Linked DNA regions of Diceros bicornis minor. The protein of the gene in region 1 purifies or fractionates together with the protein of each later gene. This does not show direct contact. Links are inferred from orthologs where the notes say so. Each region holds a gene or a part of one and is shown in the gene's direction. Other genes may lie near its edges.

Region 1 (7,376 bases):
AGAACTATATGGTAAAAATTTACTATAGAATTGACAAAACTTGGGTTATTGGATATCATAGGTAAAGGAGAAGCAGAGTTCAGGATAAACCTCAAGTTTCAAACTTGGGTGACTAGTTAAATAGTGGTATCACTAAGAACAACAGGTAAATCAGAAAGCAGTTGTGAATAAAATAATTTTTAGCCAATTTACAAAAGTGACTTAACATGTACAGAAGCACATAAGTAAGCATAGTCCCTGAAGTGATCCCAAAAAAGCAGATACAATAATTTGCCACAGAATCAGGCCCAGGGAAATGATTAAATTAGCCAAGCTTGCCTTCCTCCCCTCTGCTGGCCCTAGGCTGAGGGGATACATATCTTTACCCAACTTAGACTCCAGGGTCAGCTATTTCAATGCATCCTAAACACCACTTTAGACTCCCTCGCCCCATGACATTCTTCTCTGCCTGCTGTACTAATTCCCAAGCCTAATGCACTTTTTTGGTAGATTTTCTCTACTCCTGCTTTCCATCTGCCAAGCATTGCCAGAGAAAGTTACAGACCCATGCTGATTTGGACCACTATAGAAATGCACACCATCTGCCTCCAGGTGGGCTTTCTCTGTTGCTCTAAAACCCTTTATTAACTTTTCTGGATTCACTGTCAGTCTCCAACAGTGCCTGTTCTCTCCTTCTCTGCCTTATTCAAGTTCCCAAACCCTCTACTGTTAACTTCAATTTCATCAGATTAAATGTGATAATTCAGGTAGAGCAGTTACCATAGTGCCTGGCACATAGAAGGTTCTAAATAAACACTTACTCTTACTACTGTTAATATTGAATGAACAGCGTAATGTGTTAGTTAAAATCCTCGGGCTTTGGAGTCAGACAAACATAAGTTTGAATCCTGATTCTGCCATTTACTAGCTAATGGGCAAAAGTTGCTAAACCTCTCTGAGTCTCAGTTTTCTCATCTTTAAAGTGTAAACAATAATATTACTACTTTACAGGGATTTCGTCAGGATTAAATGAAAGTATGTATGTAAAGCCATGAGGAGAGTGTCACATGAATATTCAGTTAGCCACCAGGATTATTATTATTGTTATTACATACACTTATTAATTTTTTTTGAGAAAATCATCAACTACCCTGTGAGAGTTTCTCCACAGTTTTTAGTGTCCTCACCTCAATACATTTCCATGTCTTCACAACCTCTTATGCTTTACAACAAATATTTGAGTACCCCACTATATGCCAGGCACTGTTTCAGGTGCTGGGGATACTGTAGACTTGGACGAAGAACTACCTCTCCTCTTCTCTAAGGTTGATTCCTCCATCTGCACCTTGGATCCTTGTCCTTCCCAATTACTGAGGGATTTTTCTTGCAACCTTTCTGCTTCCCTCTTCTAGTACCTTAAATGTCCCCCTCTTTGCTAGCTCCTTCCCGTTGCTTTAGAGTAACTTCAAGTTTTGTCAAGAATTTCTCTTTAACCCTTCTAACTAATTTAGTTAAAATTGTATTTCACTCCTTTTTGCTTCCAAACTTCTTCAATACGTGGTCTCTTGTCTCCATTTCCTCAGGATACAGTCCCTTCTCAATTCCCTGTCATCTTGTTTCTACCCTCACCAGTTATTGAAACCACTTATTTAGCAGTCTCCAGTGAACTCCTTGACACATCCAAAGAAAGTCTCTCAATCCTCATTTTCCTTGTCCTGTTTTCAGCATTTGACACAGCTAACCCTCCTCTACGTATTATTTCTTTGTTTTTCACTTTCATTGATTACAAACAATTTAAAATGCAGGAAAGTACATGGAATAACATAACCCATATATGTACCTACCACCCAGTTCTATCAAATCTTGCAACATCAATTTTCAGATTGTTTTTAAAGAAATAAATATTACAGATACAGTTGATATTCCCTGTATTCCTCTCTCCAGTCTCAATCCTCTCCTTGAATTTGGTGATGATCATGCCCTTTCATGATTTATATACTATTACTGTTATGTATATCTATGTAGCCATAAGCAACAGATAATATTTTCAGACTTTATATAAACGGCATACCGTACATGTTTTGCAATTTTCTCTTTATGCTTAACATTATATTTTTGAGATTTAACTCTGTTAATACATATAGCTTGTGTTATTCATTTTAATTTTAAAATAGTATTCAACTTCATGAATACCATGATTTATTCAACCATTCACCTGCTGATGGACATTTAATTTGCTTCCATTTTTTTGAGATTACAAATAATGCTGCAATGAACATTCTTTTACATGACTCCTTGTGCACAACAGTTAGAATTTTGCCCAGTCTGTAGTTAGAAATGGAATTTCTGAAGGGTATTACCTATAGAACTTTATTATACAATGTCAAATTGCTCTTCATAGTAGTTCTACCAACTTACACTCCTTCTAGCGGTGATCAGAGGTCTATCTGTTCTACATCCTCAACAACACCTGGTGTTGTCTGAATTTTCAAATTTTTAACCAAACCGATGGTTGCAAAATGGTATCTCATGGTTTTAATTTTCAATTTCCCTGAATAGTAATGAAGTGAAGCATCCTTTCATGTCTTTACTGGCCATTTAGGTTTCCTTGACTATGAATTACTTACTCATATATTTTGTCAATTTTTCTACTAGGTTTCTTTCTCATTGATTTATAGGGGTTTTTGCACGTTCTGGATACTAATTCATTCATTTAATCAATATTTTTATAGCATCTACTTTGTTTCAGGAACAGTTCTAGGCACTGGGAATGCAGCAATGAACAAAACAGACAAAAATCCCTGCCCTCATGGAACTTACATTCTAGTGGGGAAAAGTAAACAATAAACAAAATTGATAAATAAAATAGAACAATGATAGAGATATATCCTCTGGAGAAAAATAAACAGGGAAGAGGGATAGGGAGCATGTGTGCATGGGAGTGGGAAAGGAGATTGTCAAACTTCAATTTTAAATAAATTTGTCTAGGAAGGCCTGACTGAGAAAGTGACATTTGAGCGAAGATCTGAAGGAGGTGAGAGTGCAGACAGAATGAACAGCATGTTCAAAGTCCCTGAGGCAAGAATGTGTTCGGCAAGTCCTAGGAATAGCAAAGAGCAGTGTGACTACGCAGCATGAGTTGGAGAGAGTGGTGGGAGAGGATGTCAGAAAAGTGATGATGGCAAGAAGTGTAGAACCTCAGGCTATGTTTGTCAGTTATATGCATTGAGAATATCTTCTACTAGTCTATGGTTTGTATTTTAACTTGTTTATGTTGTCTTGAATTTTAATATAGTTAAATGTATCAATCGATTCCTTTATTTTTGTGCTGTCTATTCATTTTCATTCCCTATTCCAAGTTCATAAAGATATTCTATTTACTTCTAAATGTTGTCAAGTTTTGCTTGTTACATTTGGATCTTGAATCCACCTGGAATTGAATTTTTCCTCTATGGTGTGAGGTAGGGATCTAATTTTATAATTTTCCATATGGATTATCAAGAGTCCCAGCACCATTTAGTGGATAATCCACTCTTTCCCCACTGATCTGAAATGTTGCATATGCTGCATATCAACTTTCCATATATGTGTGGGTCTGTTTTGCGGCTCTGTATTCTATTCCATTGGTCTGCCTAGCTCCATACCACACTGTCTTAATTACTATAGGTTTAAAATCAGTCTTGATAGCTAATCCATTGTAGATTCTTGAGCAAATGAAAAACACAATTGAAATGTTACTCTGGGAAGACTATTCTTATGACTTATGTCATAAATCATGTGCTTAAGTTCCACTGCCAAACTTATGTACATATTCTTATGTAAAATGGTCAAAGGGGATATCACAAAGGCTAACAAAATGATGGCGGTGTCAATGGAGAGAAAACAAGGAACCAAAAATTAATTCCAAAGAAAATATTAACAAGGTTTTTTGACTGATTGGATACAGAGAAATTAGGAGAGAGGAAGAAAGGTGACCTAGAGGGGGCGCAAAAGAAGGGTAAAGGTCTGAGATTTGAGGACTTTTCTGATTTAGCGGGTGAAAGGAAGAGGAAGGGGAGAACATCTGAGAGGTAGGATAACCAGCACGGTGCATTATAACCATAATAAGGATTTTTTGAATGGATGATGTGGGTCTTATTGGCCCAACACCTTTGAGTTCCCTCATAGGTATGACTGTGTTTTGTTTCTGTGGCAATCTTCAAAGTCCCCAGAAGAATTTTGGTGTCACAGGCAGCATTTGAAACATATTCCTTGCTGGACATGGTTGAGACGCCCCCGTTCCGTCGGGTCTCTCGCTGCAGTTCCGCAAGTTGGCCGCAGGGGGCGGAATCCGCGGCGGCCTGGAAAACTGGCGGGGGCGCGAGGCGCCGCTCTCTCTCGGGTCAGGCTCTCGGCTCCCGGCTCCCGGCTCCCGGCGCGGAGCCGTTCCTCACACGACGCGCAGCCGAGGCGGGTGGCTGTGAGGACGGGGGACGCAGAGTCGTCGGATCCGGCCGCAGTCCGCAGTCCGGCTGAGCCCGGAGGCCGCCCGGATGGAGCCGCCGCTCCCGGTCGGAGCCCAGCCCCTTGCCGTATCCGCCCGAGAGAAGGGGGAGGGGAGGCCGCGCAGGGTGGGGGGTGGGGGTCGGAGAGATTGCGGAACGCGGCGCAGGGATCGGGGGCGGTCAGGCCCAGAGGCCGAGCCGAGCGGGGGAGGGAGGCGGGCGTGGGAGGCAGTGCCTCGGGACCGGGACCGGGGCGGGCAGCGGGGCGAAAGCCTCCCTGCACACCACACCGCGCCACCCCTCCCTGGCTGAGCTTCTAGAAGAGACCCTTGACTAGCGTCCGCATACTGTCGAGGGTATGGAGATGAAGGGTCCTCTCCGGGAGCCCTGCGCTCTCACCCTAGCCCAGAGGAACGGGCAATATGAGTAAGTAACCACCTGATTCCCACAGAGGAGGGGAGCCTGCCATTACCTCGCAACCGCAAACCGCGACAAGCCACCCACCCTCCTCCCACTGAGGCCGCGCGGGCAACAGGTTCAGGCCAAGGTGTGAAGTGCAAGTGGTTTAACCACGGGTCTTTGTCCCCAACTTCCACGCTGCTAGATTTCTCCTGGCAGTGTTGCTCAGTGGAAAGACTCAATGGACGGGGAAGCAGGAAGCCTGGGTTCTTTGTTCCTGCCCCTGCAACTGACACATGTTGTGTAACCTTGGGCAAGTCAATAAAGCTTTCTGGGCCTTAGTGTCCTCATCAGTTAAATGAAAACATTAACTAACTGCCTTACCTTATAGCCTTTGGAGTTTTAACTGGGAGAATAATAAATGTGAAAGTGGTTTACAAAAAGTAAAAGTGCTATGGAAACGCTTCATTAACCTTATGTTAGTGCCTTTTCTTAACCCCATTCAACTGGTTCCTCCACTCTCCCAACCCCTTTATTCCACTTGCTTGAAGGCATATTCATTAATTCAGTAATGGTTTAGTGTAGGCTAGTAACTGCTCACTTATTGACTTGACTGTTAGAAAAAGTAATGAAATATGTAGAAATATAAACGACATTTGCCATTTTATCAGTGTGTGTTAACTTCCACTCTGCCTTGCATGCACATAGGAGCTCAGTAAATACTGTTGGCTGATGGATCAAAAGATTATTTTGATAAGCTATCACTATAGTTACTGATCTCACTCCCTTGCAACTAATGCCTCATCTTAAAAGTATCCATGGTGACCACTATATATCATAGGCCCCTATCCTTGTGTGCCCAAGCCACCTCCTTTGGTTGTTCACTGGTTTCTTGACATCAGAGTTTAAAAATTGTTGATCACTTAAATCCTGTCATCTTCCAACATTGGATTCTGCCTAAAAACAATTTTTCTCGGTTCCCGCTTTTAGTTTGTCCAGACTGAGTCTGTGTCTATGCTGTCTAATTTACACAGAAGAAATTCCCACTGGCCTATCCTGCCCTTTTCTAAGACTCTTGGTGCCTCTAACTGGATGTCAACTGATTCTGTGAAGTCGCTCTTCCCTAGGTCCTGCTTGGTCAGTTCTGTTGATGTGGGAAACTCATATTATGTTTCCCAGATTTCATCAAACCTTGAAAGACCCATTTAATATAAGTGAATTTAACAGAAAAGTGAATTGAAAAGCGGAACACCGCTGCGGCTTCCAAAGGCTAGAATGGGATAGAGAGATGGGACCCTTGGGCAAATCAGTAAACTTTTGTGCCTCAGTTTCCTCTTCTGTTAAAATCAAAATTATGAGGATTAAATAAAATAGCTACATTGTTGATATGACCATAGCTTGGGATCTGGTCCCTTGGCTCAGTATATTTGGAACTCTGTTTAGCTAATAAGGGAGTGAGCAATTGGCCTTGAGATAAATACCTCATTCTATCTGGACTCTTGTACTAGAACTTTTAAAGGGTGGTAGCTCTCCTGACTATTTGTGTCCTCCTCACAGAGAAATCAAATTCTTTTGTTCCAACTCTTTGTAAGTTATGGGAGTACAGCAACATCTAACACTTAATGGCTTGATGTGTGCCAGGTATTCTTCTCACCACTTTTCATGAGTTAGTTCATTTAACCCTCATGTGAGGGTTATTGTGAAATAGTAATATCATCGTCAACTTCCTTTTCTAGATATAGACATTGAGGCACAGAGAGGTTGTCACTTGTTCACAGTTAGGAAGTAGCGTAGCTGAGATTTGAACCCATGTAACGTATCTCAGGATTACATTGTCTGAGAAGTTTCTTTTGAAATCATCGGAGTCACCTAATACTGTCGTACCATCTATAATCCTGAAATTCTTGTCTCTTGGGTGCCTTCTCTGACTTGAGTGTCCAGAACATTTTTACTTTGGGCCTTTTTTTTTTTGTGAGGAAGATCAGCCCTGAGCTAACATCCGTCCCAATCCTCCACTGTATATGGGACGCCACCACAGCATGGCCTGACAAGTGGTGCATAGGTGTGCTCCTGGGATCCGAACCCGGGCTGCCAGCAGTGGAATGCGTGCACTTAACTGCTAAGCCACGGGTCGGGCCCTACTTTTGGCTTTTTTATCCTAGAACTTGAAGCCTATTTTAATCTTTACTTCTGTGGTTCCTGCTATCAACCATAGGAGAAATTTACTTGAGAGACCACCGTTACATTTAAAAATTGGTTTTTTGGAAACAGGGAATCAAACACTAACATTCATTTTTTTCAAGGAAAATGGATTATGATGCAACCTATTGTTTCATCTTTAACCTTCCTTGAACAAATCAAAGTATTTCCTAAGGATAATGCTGAGTCTGCATTCACAATTTGTCACTCGTTTCTGTTTGACAGCTACCAAATTCTGATTTCCATTGTTTTGCCATATACCTATTATTTTTCATCTTTCTGTTCTGAAAGGGATGATTACATTTAGGTAGAATT
Region 2 (7,909 bases), on another chromosome or scaffold:
CAAGAATTATAACTAATATGCACTGAGTGCCTATTATGTACAAAACATCATGCTAAGTACTTTGAGCTCATGATCTAGTTTAACCCACACAACAAACCCATGAGATAGGCACTATTATCATCCCCATTTTGCAGTTCAGGAAACTGAGGATGAGAAGTTAAGTAATGTACTAAGATCACATGGTTTGTAAGTAACAGAATTCAGATCTGTCAACAGGAAAGTCTGTGCCCCTAAGGAAGAAGGGAGAAAAAAGGAAAGGGTCTGTATTTGTGTTTTGCTGAACCATTATAGCTGTATCTAAGAAACTTCAAGTTTTTAGAAGACGAATTTTAAAAACTATCATTTCACTGTGAAAAAATGTTTGGACTAGAGAGTTTCTGAGTCATGACCATTAAGTTATTAATTTCCGCAGTTAAAACAAAAGTGCTTTAACTTCATAAGTGTAGAGTTATAACACCTAACCGTTACTGAACAAACCCAGGGCAAGAGTTAATGGACATTCTTTTCCTTGTGCCACCAGCTGTGTCACTAGCACAGGCTTCCTGGGAATCCTTATCACTCCATTTCCCTTGGCCTGATGAAAAGAGGGCAAACCCTAAACAGAGCAGTTCTGTTGCCCTGGCTGCAGCTCTTTCTTCTTTTGAAAGTGCAATCTTGGTCTGCCAATGCAAAAATTTCTGAGCAAATCAATTGTGGTCTCACCAACAGGAGTAATGGAAACTCAGGCCGTAGAGGAAGTAACTGAACGTGGCGTGTGCTGGGCTCAGTGCCGGGGTTCTGGGTTCTGAAGGAGCCTGTGTTAGGCACCACCTCTGAGGAAGCCTATCAGAGGAAGGAGGTAGATGGGAGGGCAATGGATGGGAGGGAAGAAAGAGGTGTGAATGGGTGATCAAATGGAAGCAGAAGACAGACTCCCAACTTTGCCCGGGACCCTTCATGATTATCTGAGTGAAGTCAACTTTCTAGACTGGGAGAAGCCACTCTTCCTCTGGGCGGGTGGACTTCGTGAGATGAGATGAAAGGATGTCACACTTCTGCTGTTCTTTCAGTGTGGGTGGGTGGCTCGCAGCACAGTTCAGGACAGGAGTCCTTGTCCTGTTTTAGCAATGACTGTCTTGACCTTCACAAAACTCCCTTCAAACTTCTCACCTAAAATATTTTTAGTTTGAAAATGAAATGTTTTGGAGAATTGTGATAAGACAAGTGGGCTCTTGTCCCTGCTCTGGCTTAATTCGTGGCCATGGGTAAGTCATTTAACTCCCTTGGTCTCATTTCTGCCCCTATAAATGAGAGGACTGGCATTTTATAATCCCATGCACTTGGTAGTTACTTCCAAGACAAACAAACACCAACCAACAAATATAAAGTACATATGAGATGTGCACGTCAATGTGGTCACGCTACAGAGATCTTAAACATAATTAAAATCTTCACTTATTGAATTTTGTTGTTGTTGTTGTTGAGGAAGATTGGCCCTGAGCTAAAATATGTTGCCAATCTTCCACTTTTTGCTTGAGGAAGATTGTCCCTGAGCTAACATCTGTGCCAATCTTCCTCTATTTTGTATGTGGGACGCCGCCACAGCATGGCTTGATGAGCAGTGTGTAGGTCCGCACCTGGAATCTGAACTCAAGAACCCTGGGCTGCCGAAGCAGAGTGTGCAAACTTTACCACTACGCCACTGGGCTGGCCCCATATTGCCTTTTTTAATAATGAATTGGGCACTACATCTCCAGTAAATACTGCTAAATTTAGCAATTTTATTTTCAATTTTCCAGTCAAAATCAACATTATTTCATAAAATGTTATCATAAGGGAATAACATTTCCAAAGAATATTTTTTAAAAAACAGGATATTATTGAGTAATAAAACTTGTAGCATTTCACATTAACTTAGATAATGATAGACAGTGGTTTTCAGATGTGTTCCACAGAATCCTATGAGTTGCTTAAAAGTAGACTCAGGCAAATGCCATATTGCTTAGTTTGTGATTTGCAACTCCTCTTGTTCATTCATTTATTCATTCATTTCACAAAGGATTAGTGGTGGCTTACCCTGAGCTAGGTGTGGTGCCAGGAGCAGGTGCGAGACAGGGGTTCAGAGCCTCCTCTCCTTAACTTACTTACAGTCTGATGGGGCAGGCAGGCAGACAGTTGCTCCAATGAATAACAAACTGAGAGAAGTTTCCAAAGGCAAGGAAACCAGTACTCTGAGACCTTATATCAATAAACTTGACTTAGACTGGGAGCAGGGAAGATTTCCCTGAGGAATTGTAACTTCTGTGACAGTTCACGGGAGCTCTGAAGGATGAGAGGGAGATTAGCTGGTGTGTGGGTGTGGTGGGGGGTGAGTGGATGGTTGGTGGGTGTTGGGTATTTCAGACAAAGTAACAACATAAGCAACGTAATTTGTGAGTCCCAGTGCAAAACGAAAATGGGAGGCCCCTGGTTCAAAACCATTAAGAATTTAATGACGGTGAGAGCAGAGCATTAAAGCAAGCGCGGGGTCCACTTAAGAACGAGGCTTTGCGTGACTGCACAGGTGACGCACCCCACAAGCCAGTCTTGGTCCTCTGCATGGAAGGGAGTGTGATGTTCAGGAGACAGGAGGCAGTGAAAGGCCAGTGTGGCGGAAGCAGAGCTGAGAGGAGGGCATGAGATGGAGCTGGGGATTAGGCTCACCTGAGGATTGTCAGTGACTACTCTCTGGGCTCTATAAACAATGCCACGGGGTTTTTACTCCTTCAATACTATAGGTAATGATTTCACTTCTATTTAACTATTTATATTGATTTGCAGTGGTCATCCTGAGTTTGGTGTCTCCACGGTTGCTTCTAAAAATGGAACCCGGGCTACAGAAATTGTTCAAGTAGGAAAAGCTTGGGCCGGGTCTTCTTGCTCTCTTGGGGCCAGGGGCAAAGGGTGATTGGCTGCCCAGCACTTGTCAACTGAGCGTGCAGAAAGGCACAGGTCACAGGAGTGACTCTGACTTTGTACCTTCCTATCAATCATGCATTGTTGACCTGCTGCAGGGAGCTGTGTCCAGCTTTCCAACTTAAAAGAATATGGAAAACCCACTACTTATAGTATTACTTGAGTTCACATCCTGGCTTTTCCACATACTAGTGTGTGTCAAGATATTTGTTTGTTAAAATGTAAACTCATTTTTTAAAATAGTTAAAGTAATACATATTCAAAAATCCTGACAATAGCATCTGGTGACTCTTTTCAGGAATTTTCCAGGCATATTTTTATATTTTTTACACAAACGTATTGTACTAGACATAACGTTCTTCTTATCTTTGTTAACACTTTTAAGAATATTACCAGTTTTTAAAGGGCTTCCTAGTATTTCATTTGTACGGATGTACCATGTTTATTGAAACAGTCCTATTAATAAACATAGTGGTTGCTTTCTGTTTGGGGTATTACAGAACAATGCTTTACTGAACATCTTTGCTCTCTTATGCAAGTCTGACAGCAGAATAAATTCCTAGAAGAGCTGCTAGGTCCAAGGTTATGGTCATCTTCAATGTTGTATTGAAGTATTACCGAATCAGCCAAGTTATTTAAGTGAGCCTTGATTTCTTCACATCTGTAAATAGTGGACAATAATGACTTTCTCAAACGTTTTTTAAAAGGATTAAATGAGATGAAGGCATGGAAAAGCCTCATATATAGCAAGTAGGCTGTCAATGAACATTAGTCTCCAACTCTCCTTTTACTCAGAAAGACAGCTATTTATAAATGTTATGATGACTATAGCTTTAGCTATGAGCTCAGCAAACACAAAAATTCACAGAAAATTCTGAGGCACCATATCCATTTTAAACCCCATTGTTGAATGTAACTAGTGAAGTCTCTGGAGGTCAAATGGAGTATTTTCGAGCGGACACAAATTTGACATTAACTCTAAATACAGTTACCACTTTCCTAGTCTAATAAAGTTGACTTGATTTGCAAGATATCTATCCCTGGTAATAAAAACAATGTACTAGGCTAACACGACATATCTCTCTGCTCGCCTCGGTAGCACATATACTAAGATATATCTTCCAGCCATGTTTTTTGTACTTGAGTGAAAATCTTGCTGCTCCATTTAAGTCATTCAGTTACTAATAAAACGCATATATCCAACTTTGAAGACATTTTGACCAAAAAAGGAAAATGGTAGACCTCTCATTTCCACTTCTGGAAACCCGTTGTGTCTCCTCCAAACCTCTGGGGCCCTGGGGCTTTGAGATTTATCAGGCGTCCAGAAGGGAGGTTAAGCGGACATCTCAGACTGAAATCCCCAGGCGTCGGGGCCCAGACGTTCCAGCCGGGATGCCAGGCCGCGGTCACTCCAGGCTGGAGGCAGAACCTCCTGGAAGGGGCAGTCGGACTGGAAAGTCAGTGCTCCGCTCCGTCCCGGCTGTTCATCTAGCGCTCCCGACCCGGGACAAAGATCCCCGTCGGGGACCCGCTGCCGGCCGGGGGACGTGCGCTGGTTAGGCTCGCACCCTCGTGCGTCACGCACGCCAGCTTCCCGCCGAGCGCGGCCGTGGGGGCGAGTCCCCGGCAGGGCGCTCCCCGCAGCGTGTCCCCACGCCCCCGGGCGGGCCCCGCGGCAGCCGTGCCCCGGGCGCCGACCCCGGCCCGGCCGCCCCTCGGGGAGGCGCTGGGACAAAGGGCGGCGGCGCGGCGCGGGGCGGAGGCGCGGGGCGGGGGCGGAAAGCGGGCGAGGAGGCCGGGCCGGCCGAGGGCACCGGGCGCGCTTCCGCCGGCCGCGCCGCGCACGCCGCGGTCCATGGGCGGCTCGGCCGGCAGGGGCGGGGGCCGCGCAGCCGGGGAGGTTCAGGAACTGGAGGAGCGGGCGGCGGCTCGAGTCGCCGAGCGCCGAGACTCGGGGCCGAGGCGGAGCCGCCGCCGCCGCGCCGGGGCCCAGCCGTAGCCGCCGCCGCCCTCGCGCCCGCCCGCCCGCCGCGGGCCGCAGCCGCGGCGCGGGAGACGAGCCGGCCGTCCGGGCCGGGGAGCCGCCCGCCATGGCCACCAAGGTGAGGGGCGCGCGGCGCAGGCCCGCTCGGGCCGGCGCGCGGCGGGGAGGCTGAGGGGCCGCTGGCGGCGCACGCAGCGCCCGGCGGCTCGGGCCCCGCGCGGCTCGGGCGTTGGGGGGCCGCGCGCGGGGGCGCGGGGCGGGAGCCGGGCGCGCGCGGCGCCGTCTGCAAAGTTTGCGGCGGCGCGTGGGCTGCGGCCCGGCGGGAGGGAGCCGCGCTGACCCCGGAGTATCCGGGTCCATCCCGAGCGGCGTCCGCTCCCCGCCGCCCCGCACGTCCGGCCGCCGCGGACGGGAGCGTCCCCTCCCTCCCCCGGAGGGTGGGACCCCAGCCCCCCGGGCCGGTTTGGGGGCGCGACCCCCGCCCGCGAAGACTGGGCATTTTCCGTGCAGGCCCCGGAGCACGGACGCCGGTTGAACGCCCCGCGCTTCCACTTCCTTCATTTTTCTGGTTTTATTTCCTTTTGTTTTGCTCCCTTTTCAGTTTGACTGGTATTTCCAGCATGAATAAACCACAGAGGGGGAAATGACTGCGCTTTCAGTAACGTGTTTGCCCCCCAAAAAAGGCGCAGGCCCGAATTACGTGGTGGAACTTTGACTCGCGCTTGTAATTGGCCAGGAGTGGTGGTTTGCTTTTTTCGGGGGATTGTGCGTGCAGTTAGCGGTCGCTTTTGCTACCTGAGTCTGCAGGAGCCACGCGCCCCCTCGCCCTTTCCTCGAGCGTTTTCTTTAGTTTTTGATGTAAAACAGTCACTGTTAGGGAAAGCCACAGTCACTGAGTGAGGACTAGAAGTGGGAGACCCTCCAGGGAGCTGGGGATGTGGTTTGAGGCATGGAGTGACTTCTGCAAATAGTTTTTGTAATGTCACCTTGTAAACATCACCTTCTTCCATACTCATTTTTGAAATCTCTAAGCTTTTGGGTTAGTGAAAATCGTAAATTTTTTTGAATGTTGGGTTTGTGTTTTTAGTAGAGATAACTTAGGAAAGTGATAAATTTGAAATCCCTTTGAAAGATTAGATCATCTGATACCATTTCAGTCTATTAAATTTTGTACTCTGGATCTGTCTAGGTGTGCAGTGTTGATTTGGAAAAAATGGGAGATTCTTCTCCAGGGAACCTGTTGCTTTCTGTTACTGAAATAATCACCTTGTTAGTGTGTTATTGGCTATGCTCTTCCTTGGTTTTATTAGATGTGGTAGAATTTGCTGCCTTTTTAACATATATAATTTTGTGTTGATGTTTTGAAAAACAAAACTTCAGCCAAGGATTTCTAAGGAAATTTGATTTTGAGGTTTGTTGCCCAACATGCCAGAAATGACCAATTACACGTGCTGTTTTACACTCATTTTGCAACCATAAAAGCTGTTTGTGGTAGATATCTATTCTGTGGTGGTCATTGTTGTGGTATTTTGCACTCTGATCTACTCATGCATGTTACATGTACTGTCCCGTAAGTGGGACCCAGCTTAGCAAGTACTGCGGATGTACACAATGCACATTTTATTTGATAATTAAACCTGAACTTCATTTTTCCTTAAAATTGAAAAGGATAGTGGCTCTTGCACTGAACTTGAATTGCACGTGTCCTCACTAAACACAAGCTTTAAAAGCGTGTGTCAGCACTTCCTCCGTTGTTATCTACACTACTCTGAAGGCAAGTCCGGGAATTGTGACTTAGTTTCTTTCCCTTTTCTAATCACTATTCCACATGGTACTCATTTTCATGTTTACATTATAACAAACCACTTCCAGTCTTAAAAAAAAAAAAGGGCAGAGCAAAGAAGCATTTTAAGGACCCTTCCTCAGTTTTCTGGTTTTCCTAGTTCCTGGTGAGTCTTGTGTCAAACCAAAAGTTTCAGTTTAATTGTTCCCAGAGAGTCAAGTTGTCCCCACCCCCACCTTACCCCCTGCCCTTACTGACATCTGAGTAGTTTGGGTATTTTTCTTTCCTTTCTTTAATTAGGTAGATGGGGGGAATGTACTTTTAGTAAGTAATAAAGTCTAACTTTTTATAAAATTGAAGACTTATATGGCAGTCAGGCTCTTGCCTCAAGTGATGAGAAATAAATACAATATCTGGTTATTTTAGGTGGTGTTGGGTTTCCCTTTGAATTTACTAGAGAATGCTTCAGTTCTCTTGAGATGTAATTTTCTTATTTATTGTCCTTACTTATTTTCCTGAAGATGCAGTTATCTTTGAACTATCATGATTTTTTAAAAACTCCACTGGTACATTCACAACAGAAAGAAAGGATCTTTTAGAAGAAAAACTTTAATTGGCAATTCTTCACTGCCAAAGAAGGTTAATCAGTAACTGCACATTTTAAAGGGATTATCTGTTCTTTGTTTCTAATCGTTACTCAGGAGAGTGCTGAATTCAGTTGTGAGTGTCTCGTCACTCTGAGTCCAGTCTTATCTCGTTTATCAAATACAGCAAAAGGCTCATGGGAGTGTGTCAAGTCTTGACTTCTACTAGAATCCTCAAGGTTATTTCAACACAGTCGTATGGTGAATTTAGGAGTAAATTGTTTTATTAAGTCTTGGGAAAGAAATTCTTTTTTTTGCCCATATATATCAAAAGGTACATGAAGAAAATAGTCAGTGGGAGTTAATCTATAGCTATATAATTTGGCTGTCATTTCCATGTCATACTTGACCTTTGGTAACTAATTTGGATCCTTTTGTGCTTACATAGTCACTTTTAGGTGTAATCATTATAACAGGATTCTAGGAGTCACTGTTGCTTTTTTTTTTTTTTTTTAACTTTTGGTTCCAGCTCCAACATCTGAAGTTGTATGTTTGTGTTACAGTGCTTGTCTGGTTGAATTAAGTGGGTGTGGAATGTTGAAAATACTGGTAGGAAAATACTGT
Region 3 (7,518 bases), on another chromosome or scaffold:
GGCCTGCATGGGCGACGCAGTGGTGATGGAGGGAGGGGGCTGCTTCCGGATGTGTTCTGGCCTTGGTTTGGGGTAAGGGACAGGGAAGAGTCTGGCAAGAGTGCCTGGGTGATTGATGGAGGGCCCATTTGCCAAAATGGGAAGACTGGGGATGAGTCCAGTTCTTCTGGAGAAAAATCAAGAAATGATTTGCTCAGGTCAAAGTCTTAGAAGTTATTGGTGGTTCAACCCATGAGCTCCTCAAGGGGCTTCTGGGGTTCTCTCGTTTTTTTGTTTTTTTCACAGAAGATGGAGTGTTTTTATTGGAGGGTAAGATGATTGCTAAAATTTTTAAAAATATATAATATAGCTATTTTTTCCTCAAATCCTATTAGCCAAATTTTTCAGTAATTAGCTAACAGAGACATCGAAATTTTTTTTCTTTATTGTGAAATTTTTGTTGTACATTATTGTTTGTCAGTCACCATATAAATGCATCCCTTCACGCCTTGTGCCCGCCCCCCACCCCCCTTGCCCCTGGTAACCACCAAACAGTTCTCTCTGTCTGTGTGTTGGTTTATCTTCCACTTATAAGTGAACTCATGTGGTGTCTGTCTTTCTCTTTCTGGCTTATTTCGCTTAACATCATACCCTTAAGGTCCATCCATGTTGTTGTGAATGGGACAATTTTGTCTTTTTTTATGGCTGAGTAGTATTCCTTTGTGTATATATACCACATCTTCTTCATCCAGTCATCAGTCGAGGGACACTTGGGTTGCTTCAATGTCTTGGCTATGGTGAAGAATGCTGCGATGAACATAGGGGTGCATAAGCCTCTTTGGGTTGTTGATTTCAGATTCATTGGGTAGACACCCAGTAGCAGGCTGGCTGGGTCATAAGGTATTTCTATTTTTAATTTTTTGTGAAATCTCCACACTGTTTTCCATAGAGGCTGTGCCAGTTTGCATTTCCACCAGCAATGAACTAGGATTCCCGTTTCTCCACAGCCTCTCCAGCGTTTGTTGTTTTTTGTCTTGGTGATTATAGCCATTCTAACAGGTGTAAGATGATTTCTTAGTGTGGTTTGGATTTGCATTTCCCTGATGATTAGTGATGTTGAACATCTTTTCACGTGCCTACTGGCCATCTGTATATCTTCTTTGGAGAAGTGTCTGTTCATTTCCTCTGCCCATTTTTTTTTTTTTTGAGGAAGACCAGCCCTGAGCTAACATCTGATGCCAATCCTCCTCTTTTTTGCTGAGGAAGACTGGCCCTGGGCTAACATCCATGCCCATCTTCCTCTACTTTATATGGGATGCCGCCACAGCATGGCTTGCCAAGTGGTGCATCGGGTCGCACCCGTGATCCGCACTGGCGAACCCTGGGCCGCCACAGTGGAGTGCGCCCGCTTAACCGCTTGCACCACCGGGCCAGCCCCCTCTGCCCATTTTTTTGATCGGGTTCTTTGTTTTTTTGTTGTTCAGTTGTTCTGGGGCTCCTTCTTAATGCTCCTTTTTTTTTTTTTTTTTGCTAGAGGAAGATTCACCCTGAGCTAACATCTATGCCAATCTTCCTCTATTTTGTATGTGGGTCGCTGCCACAACATAGCCACCGACGAGTGATGTAGGTCTGCACCCGGGAACCAAAGCCAGGCTGCCAAGGCGGAACACACCCAACTTAACCACTAGGCCAAAGAGCCGGACCCTTTTTTTTTTTTTTAAAGATTTTATTTATTTATTTTTTCCCCCAAAGTCCCAGTAGATAGTTGTCTGTCATAGCTGCACATCCTTCTAGTTGCTGTATGTGGGACGCGGCCTCAGCACGGCCGGAGAAGCGGTGCATCAGTGCGCGCCCGGGATCCGAACCCAGGCCACTGGCAGCAGAGCGCGCGCACTTAACCGCTAAGCCACCGGGCCGGGCCGAGCCGAGCCGGACCCTTAATGCTCCACCTTAAAACCAAAAAAGACTTGCCCAAACTTCATTTTGACCCCCAAACATGGACTTGTTCATGGCCTGGTCTTAAAACTTAGCAGTAGGTCAGCCCCTGCGTCCCAGAATGTTCTTGCTCAAATCCAGTCCTGTAACTCTCTGCCGTCCAATATCACAGCTACTATCAATGGCCTGTGGCTACTGAGTGCTTGCAATGTGGCAAGTCTCAACTGAGATGTGCCATAGGTATAAAACACCAATTTCAAAGACTTAGGAAAATAAGAATGTCAAATATGTTGAAATGATAATATTTGGGGTTATTGGGTTAGATAAAATATATTACTAAAATTAATTTCACTTTTTCTTTGTACTTTTTCTTTTAACGTAGCTGGAGTAAATGGAAAATTATAAATGTGGCTCCCACTGTATTTCTATTGGTAGGCACTGCTCTAATTCAACAGGAGCCAGCCAGCAAGCTCCTGCGGGGGGGGGGGGGGGGGGGGCGCCGCATCCACTCCCACGCAGGATCGCAGTCGCAGGGTTTTCCAGAAGGTGAAGTCGGCCTTCCTTGACTCATTAGACCCCTGAATGCCTTTGCTTTAGGCCCAAGCTTGAAAATTAAGCTTCGGCTAATTCATGGGCTCTAGACGGAGTTGGGAGAGGACTGAGTCCCCTCACCCGCCCATGACAGGATTTAGAACCAGGACGTCCTTATCCCCACAACAAAAACGCAGAGCTAACTCCATCTGGCCCCAGGTGGGCTCTGGGCGAAGGGTTGAAGGTGGTGGGTGGGAGAGAGGTGGAGAGTTGAGGCGGGGAAGAGGGTGGCTTTCCCCCTTCCCTTGAGACAGACTTTGCCTGTTCTTGGGACTCTGGGTGTTAGTCCGCACCCCACTACTCATATATATATTTTAACGGCGTTATCCTCAGGGAGAAAGTGCTTCTTATGTCCTGAATGGACTCCTCCAGTCCTTGGAAAGCTTACTGTCTCTTCCATAAAAACCACTTTTTCTAACTCCCGGTCCTAATAATTTTTCTTGTGGTTGTTTTTAATGGGGCCGTTCTATGTTTTTCAGTGGCAGACAGCACCCCCCCCCAAACCCATATTAGGAATGGACTCTCCTGGTCACTAAAACAGCTGAGCGATGTCTGTCCTCCCGGAATCCAGAATGGACTTTCCCAAGCCCCATTCCTGGAAAAGCAAATGGACAGATCCATTGAACCTGGAAGGTGGGCTCTTCTCGCCCTCATCCCCATCCCCCTACGATTCAGAGTGGACGTTGCCAGGATCCAGGACACTCCCCCAAGGCTCATTCCAAAAATAATAGGCTTCTGAGATTAGAAAAGGGTGGGTGGGGTTTAGTTCCCGGGGGTGACAGAAATGGACTCTTCCAGTTCCCTTTGCCCCAAATTTCTCAATACCCCCGGGCATTGTTTTCCGGAGGCTTTGCTTTCCCAAAAGCCAGTCAGCTTTGCACATGGGGTCTTTGGGGCGCCAAGGGGTGGTTGTTGGGCCAAACAAAACGGATTCACCTATTCCTTCCTTTTAACTAGCATTCTTCCCCGGGTCCCATTCTTGCTCAGGAGGATCTCCAAGTCTGCTGGAGGAGGGACTCGCAATTTTGATTTAATATCTGTATAATGGCGATATGGTTGCAAAAAAAAAAAAAAAGGCATTGTATATTGACGAGTGGTTAAAAGCCGAAGTATAGTTTAAATTGCGGCTCTGCCACTTCCGAGCTCTGTGACCTTGGGCAAGTCACTCGGCCTCTCTCGACCTCAGTTTTATCCTCTGCTTAATGGGACTAGACTTGAATTACTCTTTCCTCCACTCTCGGATTCTTGGTCTCCTGACAAGTTAGGTCTTGACATCTTGGCTGCTAAGCAAGGGAGGGGTAGGGGAAAAGGAAGTCTTCTTGGAAGAAGATTTAAGGAGTCGGGGTGGAGGAGAGGAGGGAGAAAGAGGAACAGAGGGACGCTGGCGCAGTAAACGCTTCATGCTCTCTGGCCCCTCCCAACCCCTTCTCTGCAGCAGGGAATTGCAGGCGTCGCTCCACCTATCCCAGCCCAGCTGAGTGACAACCTCCCTTCTCTTTCCTTCTCTACCGATCATCGCCCTCCTCCCGCCCCCAAAACCGCCCAATCGAGGGCGGGAGTAGGACAGGCCTGGCGAATCCGCGACGCCTACGGGGGCGATCTACACGCCCACTGGCCCCAATCAACGCAAGTCCCGCCTCCTCGAGCCCGCTCCCTCGCCTTCCTTCACGTCAATCCCTCCCTTCTAGTAGAGAGGTCGGATCCAATCAGTATCGGACCCGGCCGCGCCGAGGGGGCGGTCCCACAGTACGTAACCGAACTCCGCCTGTCTCTCCGGCAACGCCCCCTCCCCCCGCCCGAACGGAAATAGCGGGGCGCTGGGCCAATCGTAGCGGCGTGCCTTTGTCCAGCGGCCAATGAGAGAGGGAGCGGGGATAAGCGGCAGTATTCCGAGCCAGTAGGCGCTGAGAGCTCAGGACCGCGGAGGGGAGGGGAGGGGCCGGGGGCGGAGCTGCGGCCTGCCAGCCCGCCCGCCCGCCAGCCAGCCCTCCCCCCGCGGCCGGCTCGGCTCCTCGGCGCTGCCTGGGGTCCTTTCCTCCCGGTCCCCGCCTGCCAGCCCCCGCTGCGCTGTGCCCTGCCCGGCCAGGCCTGGAGCCGACACCACCGCCATCATGCCGGCCGTGTCCAAGGGCGATGGGATGCGGGGGCTCGCGGTCTTCATCTCCGACATCCGGAACTGTGAGAGCGCGGCCGGGGGACGCTGGAGGGGGGGCGCGCGCAATTGAGGGGTTCCGGGGGTACAGAAGGGCCCGGGGGGTAGAAGGCCATTGCGATCATAGAGGGAGCGGATAGAGAGGCCCCCGGGGCAACTTTCGGGTGGGGAACTGAAAGGGCTTGGGGTGTCACAGAGTGCCTCTGGGGGTGACGACACGGAGTGGCTGGAGGCGTCCGGGAGGGTCTTAAAGGAGAGGAGGCTACTAAGGTCCCGGGGATGGGGGCGTAGAGGTGTCCCCCTGGGAATGATAGAAAGGCTGGGGGGTCGTCTGAGCGATGGGGTTCGAGGAATCCCTGATACAGATAGAAAGCGCAGGAGATCCTGGGTGCGGGGTACCCTGTGGAGCGATAGAGTGGGAGGAGGCCACAAGGGACCCGGAGGACTAATGGGGCCGGGCTTGAGGGCCTGGGTGAGGGGCTGTCATAGAGGGGAAGGGGCTAGATAGGTCACTGGCTAGTGCATAGAGAGGGCCTGGGAGTGATAGAAAGTCCCAGGGCCTTGGGGAGGAGAGATGGGAAGGTGGGGGACCGTGGCGAGGAGTAGAGGGGCTCCAGGATGGACGATTGCTTAGGAGACATGGAGGGCAGTGGAGAGGGGGCTAGCGAGCTTACTGAGGGGAAGAGAGGGTCTCAGGGAGCACAGAGCGAGGCGCTGCAGATGGAGAGTCTTGGGAGAACGTGAGACAGCTGGGGGCCTGGAAAGGTGGGGACATTATAAAGTGGGGGCTTGAGGGGTGTGCCAGAAGGGGGAGAGCCCAGAGCTCAAAGAAGGGGCCAAGGGGGCCTTAGGAATTTGTGGGGAAGGGATCTGGAAAGCTGGGGGGTGGGGGAAGCCTGGTCCCAGAGAAAGGTCAGGGGTCGGGGAGCAGGACAATGCTGAATCTGGAGCCCTCTGCCATCTGGCCACATGAGTGTGGGGACAGTGATCACCAGCAGGAAGGATCATCGTGATGATGGGAGGCCTGGCGCCAAGTCAGCTCCCAACTCCTGGGAGCGGGTGTTGGTGTTTGAAGCTGCCAAGAGCTTCAGAGGCCGTATCCGCACTGGCTTTGGGGTCACTCAGACCTGGGTTTGAGTTGGAGCGCTGTCACTGCCTAGCCGCGTGACCTTGAATGAGGGCCTTCACCTCTCGGTTTCCTCCTCTGTCAGGAGGGACCGCTGATCACACCTTCCTGATGAGGTTGTTGTGATAATGTGTGTGACCAAGGCCTTTCGCACGTTCCAGGCACTAGATGATCTTGGCTATGGTTCTTGTTATTCAGCTGGCTCCGAGGAGCGGCTTCTGTTAGGTGCTCAATGATTATTTTAGGATTTAGTAGGTATAGAAGGATCTAGCATGTAGTAGATGCTCCAGGAACAGGAGAGGTGGAAACTGTTGGGTGTAGGGGAGGAGAGATGTTATGATTGTTATGAAAAGAGTTGGAACTCCGAGGGGCTGTGGACTCGGTAGGGGGCCAGCTGTTAGGAGCACGTGTGTATTGCCTCTGATATCTACCAGGGATGTGACCCTTGGCACGTCACTTAACCTCTCTGAGGCTCAGTTTCCTGGTCTGCAGACTCCATTCATAACACCATCTGGTCTCTGAAGGTTCATTCACTCATTCATTCAACAAGAACTTTGTGATCACCATGTGTGCCAGACACTATTCCAGGGACTGGGGCTCCAACAGTGGACGAGAATCTCTGCCCTTGGGAGCACCCATGCCATCAGGGAGCTAGAAAATACAGAAGACCAGAGGCAATCAATGACACAGTGTAGGTAATAACTGGTACAATGTCAGACAGTGGCTGGTGCTGTGAAGAAAAATAAGGAAGGAAAGCAGAGGAGAGGGACCAGGATTGAGAGAGTGGTCAGTGAAGGCCTCGCCAGGGAGGTGACACTTGAGTAGAGACTTTTGAGTGAAGTGAGGGGGCGAGCCCTGCAGATTTGGGGGGAAAGAGGGATCCAGGCAGGGGAACAGTGCGTTCAAAGGTCCTGAGGTCGCAGCACGCTGGGTGTTCACATAAGAGCAAGGGGGCCGTGTGGCTGGAGTCAAGGGAGAGAGGGTAGGCGATGAGGGCAGGGAGGGGACAGAGCTTTGTGGGCCACAGGGAGCATTTTGGCCTTTCTCTGAGTGAAACCAGATCGGCCGGAAGCTTTTGAGCACAGGAGGGACATGAGCTGATTGATGTTTTAAAATAATTCCTCTGGCTGCTGTGAAGAGAACAGATGCATGAGGTAGGAGCGGAAGCGGGGAAGCCATCAGGGAGCCACTGCAGGCGTCCAGGTGAGAGATGGTGTTGGCCTGACTGGAGTGAGAAGGGAGTGGTGAGCCGTGGTGGGGTTTGGGATCAATTTTGAAGGATTTGCAAAGGGATCAGATGATGGGGGTGGAGGAGGAAAGAGAACACAGAGGGAAGCCAGAGGACAGAGTGGAGACCCCGACGTGGGGACAGTGGAGGTCATCTAGCCAAATGATTTGAGGCTAGAGTATTGGGATGTCTCTTGTCCATCCTTTTCTCATCAAGTGTATGTTGAGTGGCTGGTATGTTTCAAGCCTTATCGTGGGTTCTGGGGACACAGCGATTAATAGGACAGACTTGTCTGTGCCCCCGTGAAGCTCCCAGCCCCATGAGGGAGACAGGTACAGCGTTAAAATTGCAACTGTTCTTCTCATAAACACTTGAATACAGATGTTCAGAGCAGCGTTATTCACGATAGCCAAAAAGTGGGCGCAGACAAGCCAGAGGTCCATCAGCGAATGCATGGATAAACAAATGTGGACACCCACACAGTGGAATACTATTCAGCCGTTAAAA
Region 4 (7,413 bases), on another chromosome or scaffold:
CTGGGCCAGTGTTGTGGTGGAGGCGAGTTTCAGTTCCCTCTTGGGGCTGGCTGGGTCTGGGGTGGGGCGGCCACCATGGAAGGAAACGCAACCTCAGACCCCAGCGTGGACGACCATCTGTCCCTGCTGGGGGCCGAGCGAAGGGGGGGATCAGAGGACGGGACTGGAGCCCGAGATCCGGATGCAAGATGGCGGGTCCTGCGGGCACCCTCCTGGGAGCGCTGCCCTACTATGTGCCGGGCATTGTGCCTGGCACTGGAGACGCAGCAGAAACAAAGCAGACAAGGCTCCCTGCCCTCGTGGACCCACCTGCTAACAGACGGGAGGGTTAGGCAGTCATCAAACCCAGGAACGCCACCTGCTATTGGCTTCTCCTGGTTTTTCTCCTACCTCCTGTGCCCTCTCACCTCCTTGGCAAGTTCCTCCTCACCTCCCAGCCTTCTGAGAAAAGCCCACAGGCCTCCTTGATCTCATCCCTCCCCTCACTCCCTCTATTTCAGCCACACTGGCCTCCTTGATACGTTTCTTGCCTCTGAAGAAACGTATCATTTGCTGTTCCCTCTGCCAGGAATGCTTTTCCCTCTGGATATCTGCACAGCTTGTGCCCTCATTCCCTTCAGGTCTTTACTCAAATGCACCTTCTCTGGGAGGTCTTCCCCGGTCCCTCCTCGCTAAAATGGCAAGTCCACCATCCTCATTCACAACTCACATGCTCTCCCCTGCTTTATTTTCCTACTTGACTCCTAACTTCGTCTCATGTACTGTAGATGTTGCTTCACCTTTTTCTGCCTGGGAAGGGAGGGCAGGAGCACGTGTTGGTCCTTTTTTTTTTTTTTTAACAATTTATTGAGGTGAAATTCACGTGACACAAAACTGACCACTTTACTTTCTTTCTTTCTTTTTTTTTTTGTGAGGAAGACTGGCCCTGAGCTAACATCCGTGCCCATCTTCCTCCACTTTATATGGGACGCCACCACAGCATGGCTTGACAAGCGGTGTGTTGGTACGAGCCCAGGATCCGAACCGGCGAACCCTGGGCGGCCGCAGCGGAGAGCGTGCACTTAACTGCTTGTGCCACCGGGCCGGCCCCCAAAATTGACCACTTTAAACTGTACCATTCCGTGGCATTTAGTCCATTCACACAGTTGTGCATCCACCGCCTCTAGCCATCATTTTCATCACCCCAAAGTAAAACCCGGTACCCATTTTTTTAAACCCCATGCCCATTAAGCAGTCACTTCCCATTCTCCCCTTCCCCTAGTCCCTGGCAACCACCAAAATGCTTTCTATCTCTATGGACTTATCTATTCTGGATAATTCATATACATGGAATCCGACAACATCTGGCCCTTTTATGTCTGGCTTCTCTCACTCAGCATGATGTTTCTGAGGTCCATCCACGTTGTAGCGTGCCTCAATACCCCATTCCTTTTCATGACTGAGTAGTATTCCCTTGTGTGGATAGACCACATTCTGTTTATCCATTCGTCTGTTGATGAACACCTGGGTTGTTTCCACTTTTTGGCTGTTGTGAACAGTGCTGCTGTGAACATGCGTGTACTTGTCTGTCTTTAACCTGTATGCCTGGTGCCTGGGATGCAGTAGTGCTTGATCCATGTTGGTTGAGAGAATGACTCACTGGAGGAGACAAAGGCTTTCAATTCAGTGGGGTGGGGCTGGGGGTCATATGCTTTCCTGGAAGCGACAGTGGCTGAGCGAGGGCTTGAAGGATGAGTCCTGGAAGGGGATCAGCATGTGCAAAGGCCAGGAGCACGGTGCATTCTGGGAAGAGAGGCAGGCCAGGTGGGGAAGCTGAGGGAGTGGGGCTGGGAAACCGTGCTTGAGGAGGCTGGAGGGGTGGGCAGAGGCCAGAACAAGCAGGGCCTTCTCCCTCGTGGGGAGGAATCTGGACTTGCTCCTGAGGCAACGGGGAGCCACGGAACGGCTTTGAGCAGGAGAGTGCCAGGACTTGATTTGACTCCAGTTCTCCTAGGACCCCTCAGTGGAGAAGGGATTCAGGGGGTACAGGGGCAGAGCGGCAGAAGGGAGACCTGAGGGAAGGCCGCCGCGGCTGGCCTGGCGAGAGACGACGGCGGCCTGGAGCGGGGAAGCCGTGGCAGAGCTAGAGAAGCGACGGACTCGAGACCCGGTTTGGTGTAACATCCTCAGGGTTGCTAATGGTGGCCACGAGCCAGTCCTGGTTCCCAAATCCCTCTTTCCATCCAGTCCTTCTGAACCCCCGGCCCTTCTCCAGCCCACTCCAGTTCCCAGCCACAGAGAGGCTCGGCTAGTCACAGTGGCCCGAGGTGGAAATGACCTGATGTCCGTCGACGGATGAAAGGCTGAACGAACGTGGTCCCTTCACACAGTGGAATAGGACTCAGCCATAAGGAGTGAGGCACGACACGTGCTGTAACGTGGATGAACTGTACTGTCATCAGCCTAGTCACCACGTTATACATTCTGTTCACTTTAAAGTGGTTAATTTTTTAATGTGAATTTCACCTCAATTAAAAAAATAAATAATAAGGAATAAAAGAAAAAAAAGATGCCAGGCCCTCGCTCTGATTTCTGCCTCTTCCACCCATGTCAAACCTTGACTCCAGCAGGAGGGGCTCTGAGAGCCAAGCCTCACAGACCTCTGGGAAATCTTCCCCACACCACGGCCCAAATGCCCTTGTGCCTGGCATTTTCCTCATCTGGGAAGCATCTCGATTTGGGGGAAATTCCAGCTTGCCTTTCCTGGCTGAGGAATTATGGCAGCATCAGGTACAACTGGATCCAGGAGTGCAGCAGATATCAGATATCATCAGGTATCTGTCTCTCTCCACGTCTTGGGTCTTGGCCCTACTTTCCTCTACGCTGGCTTCACTATCAGGCAGGCTCTAGAATTCAACTGCTTCTCTCCACCTCCACTGCCTCTGCTTTGCTCTAAACCACCATCATCACCTGCGTGGACCACTGCAATAATTTCCTTCCTGGTCTCCTGGCCTCTCTCCTTGCTCCCTACAGTCCACCCTCCCCATAGCAGCCAGGGACCATGTTAAACCTAAGACAGATCATGTCCCTCCTCTGCTCAAAACCCTCCCGTGGCTCCCTATTCTTCTCAGAGTAAAAGCAAAATCTTTCCCATGATCCACAAGGCCCTAAGCAACCTGGCTTTGCCAGGTTGAACTCTCTGAGTTCATTTCCTACTATTCTCCCACTTGCTCTCTCAGCCCCAGCCCCACTGGCCTCCTCTCTACTCTTCCAACATGCTTGGGATGGTCCCATCTCAGGGCCTTTGCACTTGCTGGTCCCTCTGCCTGGGACACGCTTCCCCCAGACAGCCACATGGCTCCCTCCCTGACTTCCTTCAGGTCTCTGCTCCTCAGAGAGGCTTTCCCTGACCACCGTGTCTAAAATCCACCCACTGCCATGGCTGAGTCTTCCTAACAGGAATCACTTGTAGAACTCATCTTGTTTGTTTGTTGACTGATTCAGGAACGCTGCCTGGAACAGTGCTGGCACACAGTAGGTGCTCAGCGAGCAGCCATAGGATGAATAGATGATCCTGGTCTGTCCTGTTCTCCCCTGCCATCAGAGGAGGGTGCTGGGGAGGCGCAAGGGCAGGAAGCAGAGACAGGACCAGGGAGGTGGAGCTGTGTTGTTTTGGGTAGAACAAAAAGATACAGCAATCCCTGTTTGTTGAGAGCCCCTCCTGTGTGCCATGAACTTGATACACGATGACTGTCTTTATTTTCCAGACGAGGAAACCGAGGCCGAGAGAAGTGAAGTGACTAAACGGCTTAGCGGGACTTGACCCCAAGCCTGCCAAATCCAGAACTTTCCCTCCTCACCTGGGACAAGGGGCAGGGTCGCCAGGCGTCCGGTACATATAGTACAGTCGTCTGTTGACTTTCTCAGAACGCCCGAAATGTCGTGTATTCAGCTTTTTTCAATAAACCACAAACTTTCAGCAGTTATTTTTCAAATTTAGCTGGGCATTAAATTTGCTAAATCCGCCAACCCCAGCAGGGCGGAGCTCGGACTCCAGGCCCCAGGGCTTCGGCGAGAGGCCCTGCCCAGGACTTTTTCCGGGCGAATCCGCCGCCCGTCCTGACGCCTGCAAGCGCGTCGAGTCTCGGGGACGGAATCCTTTCCTGAAATAGGGCACTGGCGATTCCTGAACCAGTCGCGGTCTCTTTAAGAGTGGTTCCGGGGGCGGGCCCACGGGGGCGTGGCGAATCCGGGGGCGGGCCAGGCCGGCACTGGCCAATCCGGGGGCGGGAGGAGCGCGGGGGCGGGCCCGGCGCGGGCGGGCCGGGAAGGGTTAAAGGGGCGCGCCCGGGGCTCGAGGAGTGTCCGGCCGCCCCCGCCTCCTTCCGTCCGACCCGCGCTCTCCCGCGGCTGCGCCGGCCCGGCCACCCGGGAGACAAAGCCGCGCCGCGATCGCCGCCACCGAGCGGGTCCCGGGCGATGGCCGGGCCGCCCCCCGGCCCCGCGCCTCCCGTCCCGCCGCCGCCGCCCTAGGCCGCGCCGCGAGGTAAGGCCGGCCGGGGGGACCTGCGGGGGGCCGCGGGGGCCGCGGGGCCGGGTCGCGCCGCCGTGGGTGGGCTTCGGGGTCCCCGGCCGTCCGGAGAGACGGGGATCGGCCCTTCTGCGCCTCCTCGCCGGTGTAATTTCCCCATTCGGGACCCCTCTGCCCCGCGGACTTGGCCGATGACCCGACCCCATAGGGGACCATAGGGTCGCTAGGGACTCTGCGGACAGGCCCCCATTTGCTCCCACCTGCTGCCGCTGACCCCCGTCCGGGGCTCTGGCTGTCCTCTGAGAAACACCCCACACAAAGGAACGGGGCAGCCGGGAGCAGGGCCAGACTGGAGGACCAGCCTCTGCGGTGGGCAGCGGAGCTGCCTCCAGCCTGCGGGGCTCCTGGTCCCCGGGGCCCCGGCCCGGGACAGGCGCTCTGGGCACGTGTTATTCTGCCTGTGCCTGCCACACCCACCCTCTCCCCCAGGCCCACTGCTCGGGGACACTGGTGGCCGGGATTCCACCGCCAGGACCTGCGGATCTGGCTTCTTTCTTGGAAGTGAGTGCCACGGTGCCGTGCCTCAGTTTCCTCAAGTCCTGGTTTCTGGGTCAGCTGTGAGACCTCGAGCTACTTATTTGCCCTTTGGACAGCTTCCTTCAGTGTGCTCCCTCCTGCTAAGCATTTTGCAAAATGGCTCTTCAGGATTAATTTATCCCACCCTTCCCGGAGTGGTGGATATTAACGTTCTCATTTGACAGACAGGGCTGTGAGAACCCCGACTCACAGCCGGGTGTTCTGGTGCCTTTCTCATGGCTTGCCAGTGGGTTGTCCTCGTTTTAGCTCATTGCATCCTCTCCACAGCCCACTTGACAGACGAGGAAACTGAGGCTCGGAAAGGTGAAGTGACTTTCTCAAGGCCCTCCAGCCTGGACTGGTGGAGGCGGGAACTTGGCCCTGGGACCTAGAGGGGCCGGCCCCCTCCAGCTTCCTGCCTGGCCGCGGCCGGTTAAATCAGCGGACTCTGAACTTCTTGGAAAACAGCATGAGTGTGGGGAGATAAGCAGGGCCCAGGCCCTCCCGGAGGGCGCCTGCTGCTTCCTGCCCCCTTCCGTGCTGGGTTGGGGCCAGGGGCAGGACGGGTCCTATGCGCCTGTGACCTTGGGCGGGCTGGCCTGGTTTGGGCAGTAGGGGGAGGGGGGCTGCTGGGCGTGAGGGGCATCGCTCTTTTCTTGGCCTTAATGGGGTGAAGAGACCTCAAGAGCAGCCCCTTTGGGCTGGCTGCCTAGAGCATGCGACTCCGGGCACAGCCTGTGCCTCAGGGCAAGTTCCTTGCCCTCTCTGTGTGCCAGCTTCCATGCTGTGAATGCGGGATGGAGCACAGACCCCCCTCAGGGGCTGGTGAAAGCTTTAGGAAGGTAACTGTTTGATTCATTCCATAGGTGTTTGAGCACCAACTACATGCCGGGCGCTGGAATCCCCTGCCCTCCTGGAGCAGGCAAAAATGACCCAGGTAATTTCAGATTGGGGTGCAGGAGAGTGACCTGGAGGGGGGTCCCTGTATACAGGGTGGTCAGGGAACTGGCCTGAGGAGGTGATAGTCAAGCTGAAATTGAAAGATGAGGAGTTGGCCATGTGAAGGTATGGGAAGGGCGTTTCAGGCAGAGGGAACAGCCAAGGCAGAGGCCCTGAGGTGCGAGTGTGCTCGATGTGTTTGAGGAACAGCAGGGAGGCCAGGGGCCCTGGAGCCCAGTGAGCAGGGGGAAGCAGGTGGGGAAGGGCGCTGGGAGGCCTCCGCCAGGAGGACTGCATCTGATACTGGGAAGTAGGGAGCTGTGGGAGAGTTCCCAGTGGAGGAGGCGTGTGTTGGATGTAGTTTTAACGGAGTCTCCCGGTGGGGAATGGAGTTCAGTGGGGCCAGGGCAGGGGCCTGCGGAGGAGTTAGGATCTTGCCCTGAGGCACGTGGACGGGGAAGGGGCGAGGATGGAAGCAGGAGACCCGTGAAGGGGCTACCGAGCCATCCAGGCACGTGAGGATGGGGGCTGGAATGAGGTGGCAGCGGGCAGAGAGGAGGGCACTGATCTGGAAGAGGTTGGAGGGGGGATCGACTGGACTTGATGAGTGATCAGAGTGGGGTGGGGGGAACCGAGGGCCATTTGCTGAGACAGCGCTGAGAGGAGCACTTAGGGGGGCCAAGAAGACCATCCACAGCTACCACCGGTGAGCACATACCGGCTGCTGGGCCCCATGCTCGCTGCTTCTATGTAGTCATTGTGTCATTGTTACAACCACCCCGACTTAGGTGCTGTTACGATCCCATTTTACAGATGTGGAAACAGAAGCCCAGAGAGGCTTAACGCTTGCCCGGGGTCACACAGCCTGAACACTACAGAGCTGACATTGGAACCCAGAGAAGAGCAAGCCAAGCCCAGAGCTGGGCAGAGGGCAGGGAGGTAAGTGGTGGCCTGAGAGGTGGGAGGGAAACCGGGCGAGTAGGGTGGGTGGTCCCTGTGAGACATGGGGCCAGGTCCCCGTGGGAGTTGTTGGGGGTGTGAGGGAATGCATGAGTCCCATTTTGCAGAGAGAGAAACTCAGGCTCAGAGAGGGGCGGCCCGTGTCTGAAGTCACACAGCTCAGGGAGGCAGAGCAGAGATTAAACACCCTGAGCCTTCAAGGGCTCTGGCCTTGGCCTGGCTGCTAGGTCAGGACAGGCTGATTTCAGCAACTAAATCACGGCTTATGTTGCCTCTTCCAAGAAGCTTTCCTTGACTGCCTAGGCAGGTGAGACGAGGGAGCAATCGCCCTCTCTGCCCTGGGTCAGGTTGCCTGGCTGGGCCCCCGCTGTGGCCAGCTGCTCCCAGGAGAGCCACCACCCATACCTCATTCCTCAGGGCCCTGAGTA

Evidence for each region.
Region 2: the proteins of OCRL (region 1) and SNX9 purify together in Homo sapiens (co-immunoprecipitation; 3 studies listed by BioGRID and IntAct, with this or other methods). This does not show direct contact. The link is inferred for Diceros bicornis minor from reciprocal best matches to the Homo sapiens genes OCRL and SNX9.
Region 3: the proteins of OCRL (region 1) and AP2A1 purify together in Homo sapiens (affinity purification with mass spectrometry; 3 studies listed by BioGRID and IntAct, counting the BioPlex papers as one, with this or other methods). This does not show direct contact. The link is inferred for Diceros bicornis minor from reciprocal best matches to the Homo sapiens genes OCRL and AP2A1.
Region 4: the proteins of OCRL (region 1) and PHETA1 purify together in Homo sapiens (co-immunoprecipitation; 5 studies listed by BioGRID and IntAct, counting the BioPlex papers as one, with this or other methods). This does not show direct contact. The link is inferred for Diceros bicornis minor from reciprocal best matches to the Homo sapiens genes OCRL and PHETA1.

What each region holds. Positions count from the first base shown.
Region 1 is NC_080781.1:118,337,323-118,344,698, forward strand, and holds the start of OCRL (inositol polyphosphate 5-phosphatase OCRL), read left to right. Parts: upstream 1-4,373; 5' UTR 4,374-4,511; coding exon 4,512-4,550; intron 4,551-4,809; coding exon 4,810-4,889; intron 4,890-7,376. UniProt on the Homo sapiens protein: Catalyzes the hydrolysis of the 5-position phosphate of phosphatidylinositol 4,5-bisphosphate (PtdIns(4,5)P2) and phosphatidylinositol-3,4,5-bisphosphate (PtdIns(3,4,5)P3), with the greatest catalytic activity towards PtdIns(4,5)P2.
Region 2 is NC_080778.1:11,700,943-11,708,851, reverse strand, and holds the start of SNX9 (sorting nexin-9), read left to right. Parts: upstream 1-4,907; 5' UTR 4,908-5,024; coding exon 5,025-5,036; intron 5,037-7,909. UniProt on the Homo sapiens protein: Involved in endocytosis and intracellular vesicle trafficking, both during interphase and at the end of mitosis. Required for efficient progress through mitosis and cytokinesis. Required for normal formation of the cleavage furrow at the end of mitosis.
Region 3 is NC_080773.1:25,130,129-25,137,646, forward strand, and holds the start of AP2A1 (AP-2 complex subunit alpha-1), read left to right. Parts: upstream 1-4,502; 5' UTR 4,503-4,616; coding exon 4,617-4,683; intron 4,684-7,518.
Region 4 is NC_080774.1:9,662,180-9,669,592, reverse strand, and holds the start of PHETA1 (sesquipedalian-1), read left to right. Parts: upstream 1-4,399; 5' UTR 4,400-4,525; intron 4,526-4,999; 5' UTR 5,000-5,071; intron 5,072-5,079; exon of another isoform or gene 5,080-5,410; intron 5,411-5,952; 5' UTR 5,953-6,023; intron 6,024-6,838; 5' UTR 6,839-6,964; intron 6,965-7,413. UniProt on the Homo sapiens protein: Plays a role in endocytic trafficking. Required for receptor recycling from endosomes, both to the trans-Golgi network and the plasma membrane.